3 linked regions of the Danio rerio genome follow. The protein of the gene in region 1 interacts with the protein of each later gene in a pairwise test. Links are inferred from orthologs where the notes say so. Each region holds a gene or a part of one and is shown on either strand. Other genes may lie near its edges.

Region 1 (3,982 bases):
TGAATTATTACTTGTAACTTTTGCACAATTTACACTTTTCACACAATATTGCTCCTTTTGAATTTTTTTTTGCAATAAAGTTTAACATTTTTAAATGACAATATAGTGAAGTAAAATTTCAAACTCGGACTCAACTTTAGTATCCCATTTAGAGAAAGTAAAATTGCAGTAAGGTGCCATAACACAGGCAAAGTTCCATGTACACATTAGCAAAATATTACCACAAATCATACAATACATCATATTTAGATGCATCTCCCTCCCCACTGGACTCATTTAATGACCTAATGGCTACCTATTTGCAGGACAATGCCCATTAGGAACTCTAAAATGACATCCTGATGGCAGCAGCTAAAACACGGAGAACAATGGGTGACCTGGAGTGCATAAGATACCCTGAGCTCTCTTTAAAACATAATTATGGTAAATTATCATTGGAACAGTTTAGTTAAAACCGATGACCTTGCCTGCCACCTTCACAAGACTACTCAACCTGTTCTTATTTGACAGACTCGGATTACTGTAACAAGCAAAAATGCAGAAAGATAAAACAGATTCAATAAATTGTTTATAAAACAGTGACACCATAGAGCTGCAAACCCCAAATTATCGAAGTTTCCCAGAAAAAAAAAGTCTTTGAATGTTTTTATTTTTTATAAACAGCCTGGGTGTTATGTCAACATATTGTAGATAAAGACCCCTAGATATTTATGTGTGTCAACAATTTCAATGACCACACCTTTACTAGTTGTTATGCTGGGGGTAGGAGAAGCCTTCCTGTAATCTATCAACATAAATAGTATTCAAACACTTTATGAGCAATGCAGTCTGAATGAAGTAAAAAAGAATTCTAAGCAATCCATCTCATGTACACTTTCCATTTTACGATCTGATAGAAGATGCAGAACCTCACGGTAGAAACGGAACAGACTTTAGAACTCTTTTTATCCCAGTGTCAATCAGACTATTGAACATGGATCGATAGTGTGCTTACGTTTTTTCCTGTATGTAATTCTTTAGGATGTTTGCTTATTTTATCATTTTTATTGTGTCAGAACTTGAAGTGCTCTGAGAGTCCAGGGAAATTTCCCCTTGAGGTACAATAAAGTATACAAACAAATAAATAAACAAACCATTACCAAATTGTTTAATTCTATAAACTACTAAAATTGTCCAAATTCTAAAAAATTTTTTGAAGGCTTCTGTGTGTATGTTCAGTTTTGTCTTTTTTTATGGCGATTTTATGGCTTTTTATGGTTCTTTTTGTTTTTAAAGTGAAATAATAAAAAAGAAACACGAGGCTGCAAAAAATGCTAGTTTTGGAAGAAAATTTTAAATGACTTGAGTTATACTTTTCAGGAAATTCATCTTGGTCTCAAATAGCAAATTTGTCTTGAACTCGGTACACATACAAAAGAGAGGCACCTAACATTTACCAATAACAATGAGATTTAAAAGACCCTTCAAGGTAGTTTGTCATTTAAAATGCTAATGCACACTAGTAGAAAATCGCTTATAACCAATCCTTTTACACAAAAGAACTTTGTATTGCTTTCTAAGCTGGCAGTTAGAGGCTTCTGCATCTGAACTCTTCTATATTCTATGCATATTGTATATGTGTGTGTGTGTAGAGAAAGTGTGAGTATCACTCAGATAATTAATTTTATTTACTTGAAATGCAATATTGCATAAATAAAATTTGAAAAATAATGGAATACTAATGTGTTTCACTTATTCCTCATCATTTACTAGGAATCCTTTATTTTGAAAATGACCCCCTCTATCTATTAGTTAGGCTTTACTGCAAGCTTTTATTTTATTAAATTAACTTGGTTACTTGCTCCGGTTTCCCCCACAATTCCAAAGACGCGCTATAGGTAAATTGGGTAAGCTAAATTGTACATAGTGTATGTGTGTGAAGGAGAGAGTATGGGTGGTTCCCAGTGATGGGTTGCAACTGGAAGGGTATCCGCTGTGTAAAATATATGCTGAATAAGTTGGCGGTTCATTCCACTGTGGTGACCTCAGATTAATAAAGGGACTAAGCCAAAAGGAAAATGAATGTATGAACTTGGTCATTTATTTTTAAAAGAATTCAGTGTTCCTTCACCTCAAGCTTGTATTGATCTTCATACATCTAACTCTACTATCTCTGCCGATCCCTCTCACTGTTAACAGGAAGCGCTTTGAGAAAGCAGAGGCTGAGTATGTTGCCGCTAAGATGGACTTGCACAGGAAGACCGAGGTGAAAGAGCAGCTGACAGAGCACCTGTGTGCAATCATCCAACAGAACGAGCTGCGCAAGGCCCGCAAACTGGAAGAGCTGATGCTGCAGCTGGAGCTAAATGCTGAGGAAGTGCCCAGTCCAGATCAAACGCAACTACAGGACAAACAGAAAGAGCCTGTTACTGAGAACGGTCCTGCAGCAGAGCTGGAGAGATGTACAGAGGCGAATGGCTCAAGTATGAGCAAAGACAGTTCCATTACAGAAACCAAGATCAGCCAAGACAATCAGGAGAGTGAAGCAGCAGATGTTTCAGCAGATGGGCTTCGCTAGCTTCCAAGCATCATTAATTTAAAAGAGGCTTCATAACGCTTTACATAACACTTGCTACCAGCTTTACAAATATCTCTATTGTGTGAGAATGCTGAACAAAAGCAATGATCCTATATTTCTTTATTTAAACATTTTTGGCATTTTTGGATTATACAAAAGCCATGTTGGTGTCTTCTCAAATGCCATGAAGGTAATTCCATTACTACTAACGCTAAAATGCCTTGGCATTATGGGACTCAGATATTGATTGTGATTGTTTTCATTTAAACTGTTACTTGATCCTGAATGTGAGGAGTTAAAACAATGCTGCATCCTTTTATTGTGCTTCATCTGGATGTCATTGTATAATTTAATCTGTCTTGCATTAAGAAAATGGACCACAAATCTCTTGAAAACACTACATTAAATACTAAATACTGTTAATTTTATATCGTTCCATAACTGTGACACTATTCAAAATGAATTAGTGGCAGGCGGTCTGGTGGTAGTTTGTAGTCATGATTTATTTCACATGATGTTGCACAAGTGTATGGTGGGATCTTTTATCTGTATATGGTGGTTGTCTCATAAAAGTAACGTTATGCGAATGTTAACAAATCAATAACAGCAGTTTTTTTTTTCTTGCAAAGCTGATGGTTTACTCAGCAGAGATTGTTTTGTACAGTATGAGGGAAAATTCTATTGGAGTGTGAAAAGTATATAGAATTTAAAAATCTTGTCAAATGCTCTTATAGAGCCCGTCATCAACTATGAAAACATTTTATATAATGGTCAGGATATTTATTTTTAAAAAAGGTTTAGGATATGACTTTTTTTTTTTTTTAAGTAAATTGTAATGTCTTTCGTTTCATTTCATGCGTGCACGAATGGGTGTCAAGGCATATACATATTTTAATGGTTAAATAAAATATTTAAATATCAATCCGTTTTAAGTTTTTTTTTTTTTTTATTGCACTCAAGACTATATACTTTCTAAAAGACCAGTTTACATTTTTGTATGACTTTTAAACATCTAAAGGAGAATGTTTTAATTTGTTGTGAAGATTATGTAAGTTGATTTTATCTTTTTAATAGGATGTAAGCAGTTTTTAGGGAAACATCTTTGCAGTGCTATTATAGATATCAATTAAACATTTAAAGCGTTCAGAAATATATGGACGGCTATTGAGAAATAGAAAAGATTGTTTTGCTATATTATGAATTAAAAGGTGCATAATGCGTTAATGTTTACAAGAGCTACATTAAATATTATAATTCCATGTAATAAGATGAAATCACTAAAATATTACCTGCAGTAGCCTATTACTTTCTTTATATTCTGGTTTGATTGTACAAAACAAGGACTGACAAATTCTGGAAGTAAATACAGGAAAGGAGAAGCACAGTTTGCGAGAGCGCATTTCTGATTTATGTGCCCTCAGTCCG
Region 2 (3,654 bases), on another chromosome or scaffold:
CAGGAATATGCACTGATTCGCTGATCTTGGATACTAAATAGGTACTGTATTTGTTTTTTTGTGTTTGACGATTAATTTTGACTAATTGCATCCCAAATGGGTATTTACATAGTATATGTGCATGTATAATGTGTGTGTTCGTTATATTGTCATGAGCCCTTATTATAAAGTTATCAGGTGTATGTAATTTAATGCTCATACACTTTATCTTTTTTGCTTGTAGAACCTGCTTTGATGACATGTTGAAAACTGGGTAAGTGTCAATTTGATTTGCTTGTTGTATTAATGTTATCTTTTGCATAATTCATAGTTTATTCTTTTTTTTTTGCATACATTTAAAAGGCATATTTCACATAAAAATGAAAATTCTGGAATTATTTATGGAATCTGCCTCCACTTGACCAGACATGTTTGAGTTTATATCTTTTGTTTCTCCCAAAATAAATATTTGGAAGAATATTGGAAAGAGCAGACATTAGGCTTTATTTTAACGATCCATGCATAAAGAGCAGGGCGCAAACGCTTTCAGGGCGTGTCAGAATCCATTTTTGCTAATATAAGGACGGAAAAATCCACTTTGCGCCGTGGCTCATAGTCTAAAAGGGTTGAGTTTATTTTCTTAATGAGTTATAGGTGTGTTTTGAGAATAAACCAATCAGAGCCTCATCTCCCATTCCCTTAAGAGCCAGTTGTGTCACGGCATAGCGTGTTTGCTATTTACATGATGTAAAATAAGTGTAAGTGGAAAAACTGAGCATTTCACTAGCAAGAAAACAGTTAAACGGAGCATCTGCAGTGCAAAAATGAGAGATAATTGATTAACTTTCACTTTCACTCTTGTGCATAGGGAAACCTTGACGCACAGACATCAATTAGCCTAAAAATAATTAATTATGTTTGTTAAGCGCAAAGATTTGTTTCAAAACTATTTCTAAATTCAGTTCTAATTTCCAGCAAACAAATAAATGAACAATAATAATTAAGTGTGTTCAAAAACCTGAGTTACATCCTAATACACATGCTGTGCCCCATATGGTCTAAAACCTGACAGGTGGGCAAATCTAAGCTTGTTTTTAATAAAACAAATATAAATATGGATATAATAAATAATACTGCTAATAATAAGAACATTATACAAAAGCAAATTGAATGAACTAAAAAAGCCTCCGGAGATGAAGAAGGCATGAAGGCAGTGGTTTTTCATATTTAGGAAGGCTAGAAAATAATATGGTTTGTAATATTTTAATCCTTTATATTTATATCCTATATATATTCTTATTATATCCTATATATATCCTTAATATTTTATTTCTTTTTCATATGTAAAGATATTTGCCTATTGCTCTACATCTTGTGTGTATTAAGCAGTGTGTAAGTGAGGCACATCTCTGCGCTGGACTTTCGACTGGATTTGTTTTGGTCAATAAAAAAATCTATTAAAGTTTCTCAAAATAGCAACGCGCCAGCAATGCACGTCAGAACGCCTCCCTTTTTAGACCAGAGCGCCTATGGGCGCGCACATGAGAGCAAATGCATTTGCTATTTAAACAGCGTGGTGCAAAACTTCAAAACAACTCTTGCGCCAAGCTGAAACTAGCAAACAACAATTGTGACGCGACTTGCACCACATTGCGCCAGGTATATGATAGGGTCCATTGGCTTCCAAAATATTGGTTAGATGACAATGGCTGCTTTTTCCCCAGATTCTTCAGAATATCTGGTTTTGTGTTGAACAGAAGACATTCATAAAAGATTAAAACTACTAGGCAATTGTAATTTATTTTTACAACTATATCCTTAAATCCTCAAATGCCAAGGCCTATATAACTATATAATGATAGATAAAGCCGCAAAAAAGATTATTATAGCATTTAAGAGATTTCAAACCCATGTGCTATGCTCTAGCAGCATATCTTAACCATGTGTACATGCTTTTAATATTAGGGATGCACCGAAAGGTAGAGATCTGCGCGGGACTAAATTTTGAATCCCGCCCGCACCAGCCAGGTTTTAGCCCGAACCCGACCGCTCCCGCTTATATTAAAAATTTGTTGTCCCGCTGCCCGACCCGCCCCGTTTTCTGGCCGCCGCGCCCGATCCTGCTAAAGAGCGGGGGAGAACAAAACCGAAAATCACCCAGCTATACAGTCCAGACAGCCAAGCTGTCTGTATAAACACACACACACACAGCATCAAGCACACACACACAGACAAAGCTCTCTCTCATATGCGCGCGCGCACTAACACACACACAAGCACCAAGCAGACACACAGGCGTTTGCTGTTATATCAACTCGAAGGCTTGTAATACCATGTATCAAGTACCAATGTAATACCAAAAGGTTTTATATAAAGGTATATAAATACTGAGTCGCGCCAGCTCCGGGCCGCAGCGCACATTACCCTCGGGCCGATTCCGGCGCGGATGCGGCAGCGTCGGCTCGCTTACGGCCGCCGTATCTGGCCCAATTGATTCGAGTCCGGCAGCCGGAGCCGGGCCGAGTGGTAAGTCTCCGGCAGACAAGAATCTAGCCGGAACTGGCCCGAGTGTATTTTGCTATCTGGGAAAGCTCTCTCTCTCTCTCTCTCTCATTCGTGCGCGCACACTAACATACACACACACAAGCACCAAGCACACACACAGGCAAAGCTCTCTCTCTCTCTCTCATTCGCATCGCAATATCCGCGATATTGCTAGACAGCCCGCTCCCGTCCCAAATTAAACCCGTTACCGACCGCTCCCGCGATTTATTCGGAAATTTATTCCCGCGCCGCAGAAATCTGGTCGCAGACCTCTACCGAAAGGCTCATTTTGAGGATTATACAATCTTTTTTTTTTCTGAGAATTTTCAAATGTAAAATTTGTATATTTAAATGAAAAATTTTACTGATTTTAAAACGCACAGGCTAATTAAATAACCATTGCGCAATGCAAGCCTTTACAATGAATAGGATTTATAGTGCAGCGCTTTCTGTGTCCTGTGTGAAAGCCTCTACACTGAGCACAGTTACTACAGTTTGAAAGTGAGTGAAACCAGTGCCCTAAACACTTTCCCTTTTTTCTTTTGGTCAAAACCAAATGCCATTTCCTGTCCAAAAATTTGATGCATCCATATTAAACAATCATTGCATTCTATAAAGCAGTCTTATAGTTGTATGACCCTGTGTGTTGTTCTGTCCTGCAGTGCGTATCGCTGTCCTCTCTGTATGCACTCGGCCTTCAACATGAAGGAGTACTGGAAGCAGATGGATGAGGAAATCTCCCAGACTCCAATGCCCACTGAGTACCAGGACAGTACAGTCAAGGTTACCGAGCCTTCATTTACATGTTCATTATCTTAACACAACTTGCAAATAAGGAGCAGCACAGACACAACCAAAGTCAATAGCTGATTTTCCATAAGAAATATGTAAAGTTGTGTTTATGCTCGTTTTTTTAAAGATTTATTTGTTACATTTCTATGACAGTTAACAAATTCAATTCAGCTTTATTTGTATAGCGCTTTTACAATGTAGATTGTGTCACAGCTGCTTCACATAAATGGTCATAGTAACTGGAACAGGGTAGTTCAGTTTTTAGTGTTTAAGTTCAGTTCAGTTTAGCTCAGTTCAGTGTGATTTAAAATCATTACTGAGAGTTCAAACACTGAAGAG
Region 3 (4,356 bases), on another chromosome or scaffold:
TCTCAAGTTATTCTGAAGGTGTGTCGTTTAATTCTGGAGCCTCCGCGGGAATCGGAGCCTCGAGTTTCTGTTCTTTGTCGACAAGATCGTCGTCCAGTTGTGCTTTACTTTCCGGTGTGGTTTTCTGCTTGCTATAGCCCATTTGCTTCAATGCACGGCGTGCTGTACGTTCAGAGATGCTCCTCTTGGTCTCCTCGTTGTAACGAGCTGTTAACTCGGTTACGGTAGCTTTTCTATCAGCCTTAATAAGTCTGCTCATCCTCTTCTGACCGTGGTCATCAACGAGGCTTTTTCGTCCACATTCCTGTCGGCCAGTGGTTGTTTTGTCCTTCAATGACCATTCCCTGTAAACCCTGGAGACTGTAGTGCGAGAAAGTCCTAGCAGCTCAGCGGTGTCGGAAACACTCAGACCAGCCTGTCTGGCTCCAACAATCATCCCGCGTTGAAAATCACTTAAATCACCTTTCTGTCCCATTCCGAAAAGCAAATATATGGTCAGGTTATATACGATTAAGAGAGTTGACAAAACAAATGCCTCTGTTTTATTAGAAGTAAACCAAGAAAGCGCGTTGGCGCATCAACAGTCGTCTTAAGTGTTTTATTATTGGCGGTTTGTATACAACTTCTTGGCGCATTACCGCCAACTGCTGGTTAGGAGTGCAGGTTATGATCGCACATACTATTGTGCATACAGACCAAAAACGCCCCCCCCCCCCCCCCACCCCCAACGTTATTTGAATTGAAGATGAATCCAAATAATCTTGATGAACTCTGGGAGTCCTGCAAGAACGCTTTCTTTGCCATTCCAGATGACTGTATTGTGTAAGTGATTTGAGTCATTGCAGAGATGTATGGATGCAGTCCTTCAAGCTATATATATATATATATATATATGATTAAAACTTCTGTACAACAAGATGAAATACATTCAAAGCCAAAAAGAGCGTGTGCGCTGGATTGTAATGTAGGAATTTTCTTAAATATTAACTTTAATGTTGTATTCTGTTAAATACCCGTTTACGTCATTAAAACTGTTTGTAAAACAGAGGTATTGCTTGTGTTTCAGCAATGCATGACTTCTAAATGAAAGTGCAGCCTTGTTTAAGACCTCAGTCAGAGTTTGATATTGTGTGCATCTCAAAGACAAAAATATTACACTGTATTATTATTATTATTATTAGATAAAATGTTGAACATGAAACAGTTAAGAAACAAGAAAATGTAAAGTGAACGGCCAGAGCATCAAGTAAATATTTGAAGCATCCACACTATTACAATTAAATATATTCTAACCTAAAATAAAAGCTTGAGAAAACGTTTGAGGGATTATCTGCTCTCTATGTTACCTATAATAATAATATCAGCAAAAGGAGCAGTAGAAAAATGATGGTCACGTGACCATGTTTCGTGCATGGTCGGCGGCGGAGTCGGTGCGCCCTCTATTGGTTCGTTGTCCGTCCAACAGCAACACCGTGGGCTGGACTGACGGGGAAGGATGTGGTCCTTTTTCGCTCGGGATCCTATTAAAGACTTCAACTATGAATTATTACCCGAAAACCAAGAAAAATCAGGCATATGGACCCTTAGCCGGGGCAAGCGCAAGGTAAAATGACTTGACATACTAAAATAAAGCTAATAGTGTCGCAGCAGGCCGCTAAAGCCTCGGGCTAAAGTGCAGCTACATCCCGCTTAGCATCCCGCATCAGCGTGTGAACATAAAAGCCAAACGAGCAGCTTTAAAACACCCACGATTTGTAAAAAGGTTATATGTTTTAATATCCACGTATCACTACCTTCTGGGGCGTATTAGTTTGATAATGAAATTATTTATTACAGAAAATTAGATGTGTCATCCTTTCACCAGAGTACGTAACATTGCTGTGGCCACGTCAACAGAAAGCTGGTCACATCAAACTGCTGAATAATATTTACGTGACAGTCATATGTTTTCAGTTGTTTCTTTGTTTTCTGGTATTTGTTATCGATTGTTACATTGGTATTGCTCGTTTAATTATGTTTAATGGCAGAGGAAAGCGGCAGTGTTATTATTAGTGATTACTGTACACGTGTCCTGACAGGCCATATATTAATAACTGTACCCGATCATCATCATTTCATCTATCATATTAGCAACTGCATCTGATGGCATTTTACTAAACGTACCGATGCATCAGTAACTATAGATCATCTAATTAACAGAAGAGTGGCAGATCAGTAGAAAGGGATGTACATTGCAGACTTTATCAGTGTTTTTAAAGAATAGTAAACATATTCAGGACATTCTGGTTGTGCAGGTTTTTCTAAATTGCATTTTTCTTTTCAGATGAGTTGTATATCAACCTAATCTGTACCTTCCTTTTATTCCAGTCGACCGGTGAACCCGTGTCAGTCTTTGTGTATGAGGTTTCTCAAGGAACGGAAGAGCAGACACAGCTGGCTAAAGCAGCTTTCAAGCGCACAAAAACCCTCAGACATCCCAACATCCTGTCGTATGTAGATGGGCTGGAGGTAAGGATGTAATGTTGATTAAATTCACCTGTTTATCGGTGTAATGGTGAATCATATGGAGATTGTTCTCTTGAAACAATGTCTCACTCCTGATTATTCAGGTCCTTGTCAATAATAAATGGCTATTCTGAAATATTCTGCAATCCAAGAATAGAAAAAGAATAAATATTGGTCATTTTAGGGCCATTATAGTGCATAATCCTGTACACACACACACAGTAACTGAACTGACTCCTAAAAATCTATGGTGGTGACATCTAGTTTTTGGCGAGGCAGTGGCACAATAGGTAGTGCTGTCGCCTCACAGCAAGAAGGTCGCTGATTCGAACCTCGGCTCAGTTGGTGTTTCTGTGTGGAGTTTGCATGTTCTCCCTGCCTTCGTGTGGGTTTCCTCTGGGTGCTCCGGTTTCCCCCACAGTCCAAAGACATGCGGTACAGGTGAATTGGGTAGGCTAAATTGTCCATAGTGTATGAGTGTGGGTGTGGATGTTTCCCAGAGATGGGTTGCGGCTGGAAGGGCATCCGCTGCATAAAAACATGGTGAATAAGTTGGCGGTTCATTCTGCTGTGGCGACCCTGGATTAATAAAGGCACTTAGCCGACAAGAAAATGAATGAATGAATGACATCTAGTTTTTAATAACATTCATTCATTTTCCTTTGACTTCCCTTTATTCATTTTGCCACAGCCAAATGAACCCCCAACTTATCCATTATATGTTTTACACAGCGGATGCCCTTCCAACTGCAACCTAGTACTGGGAAGCATCCATACACGCTCATTCACACAAATACACTATGGGCAATTTAGCTTACCCAATTCACCTATAGCGCATGTGTTTGGACTGTTGGGGAAACCGAAGCACCTGGAGGAAACCCACACCAACATGGAGAGAACATGCAAACTCCACACAGAAATGCTAACTTACCCAGCTGGAACTCAAACCAGCGACCTTCTTGCTGTGAGGCGACAACCACTGAGCCACCGTGTAACCTTAATGATGTTATGTAAATATTTTTTATAGATTTTGTGGTATATATTGTGATTGGTATTTGCACCTTTAGTAACTCCATAAACTGGAAGTCTTTCTGAGCACAAGCAAAAAACCAAAAGGACATGTTTATGCCAGTGGCCTGTATTTGCTGTCATACAATGACTTCAGTAGGGAGCAAAGTTATTTGATCATTAAGGCTGAATGAAAGTATAGTTCCTACTAGAAAGAAGCAAGTCATTTTCCATCTGTGTAAGTAGTACACAACGTAACTACAGAAGAGTCAAACTTTAATTAGGAAAACTATTGAAACTCTTTGAGTCATTTTTGATGAAGATGTTAGTGGTCAAATCTGATTTGATGATCTATGCTGAGCTAAGCTAAAAGGGCTGCAGCCAGAACCGGGAATAGCTGAATGGATAAAAAAATTGTAACATTCACTGATTAAACTCGAGGGCTGTTATATAGTTAGCCTTTTTTTTAAACTGAAGTGTCATTGGCCACCAAACTTGTTCCTGGAGGGCCGGTGTCCTGTAGATTTTAGCTCCAACCCTAATCAAACACACCTGAACAAGCTAATCAAGGTCTTACTAGGTATACTTAAATCCAGGCAGGTGTGTAAAGGCAAGTTGGAGCTAAACCCTGCAGGGACACCAGCCCTACAGGACCGAGATTGGTGACCCCTGCTTTATATGTTCATGAGTGACATGACCTGTTCTTAAAGTGTGTACATGGCTTATGTTAGCAGGAGGTTTTACACAAAATTAAATGATAATTATCAACGATGCATTTTTAATTAATTCAACTGTGTTTTCCTGTTTGACATCAGACTGAGAAAAGCTTGTACATCGTCACAG

Evidence for each region.
Region 2: the proteins of gorab (region 1) and rchy1 interact in a two-hybrid assay, tested with the Homo sapiens proteins (3 studies listed by BioGRID and IntAct). The link is inferred for Danio rerio from reciprocal best matches to the Homo sapiens genes GORAB and RCHY1.
Region 3: the proteins of gorab (region 1) and scyl1 interact in a two-hybrid assay, tested with the Homo sapiens proteins (2 studies listed by BioGRID and IntAct). The link is inferred for Danio rerio from reciprocal best matches to the Homo sapiens genes GORAB and SCYL1.

What each region holds. Positions count from the first base shown.
Region 1 is NC_133195.1:37,777,641-37,781,622, forward strand, and holds the end of gorab (RAB6-interacting golgin), read left to right. Parts: intron 1-2,178; coding exon 2,179-2,557; 3' UTR 2,558-3,479; downstream 3,480-3,982.
Region 2 is NC_133180.1:9,853,669-9,857,322, forward strand, and holds part of rchy1 (RING finger and CHY zinc finger domain-containing protein 1), read left to right. Parts: intron 1-223; coding exon 224-253; intron 254-3,185; coding exon 3,186-3,306; intron 3,307-3,654. UniProt on the Homo sapiens protein: E3 ubiquitin-protein ligase that mediates ubiquitination of target proteins, including p53/TP53, TP73, HDAC1 and CDKN1B. Mediates ubiquitination and degradation of p53/TP53; preferentially acts on tetrameric p53/TP53.
Region 3 is NC_133189.1:50,214,035-50,218,390, reverse strand, and holds the start of scyl1 (N-terminal kinase-like protein), read left to right. Parts: upstream 1-1,441; 5' UTR 1,442-1,495; coding exon 1,496-1,603; intron 1,604-2,367; coding exon 2,368-2,508; intron 2,509-4,328; coding exon 4,329-4,356. Other genes in the region: zgc:194285 (uncharacterized protein LOC793726), read right to left, coding at 8-475. UniProt on the Homo sapiens protein: Regulates COPI-mediated retrograde protein traffic at the interface between the Golgi apparatus and the endoplasmic reticulum. Involved in the maintenance of the Golgi apparatus morphology.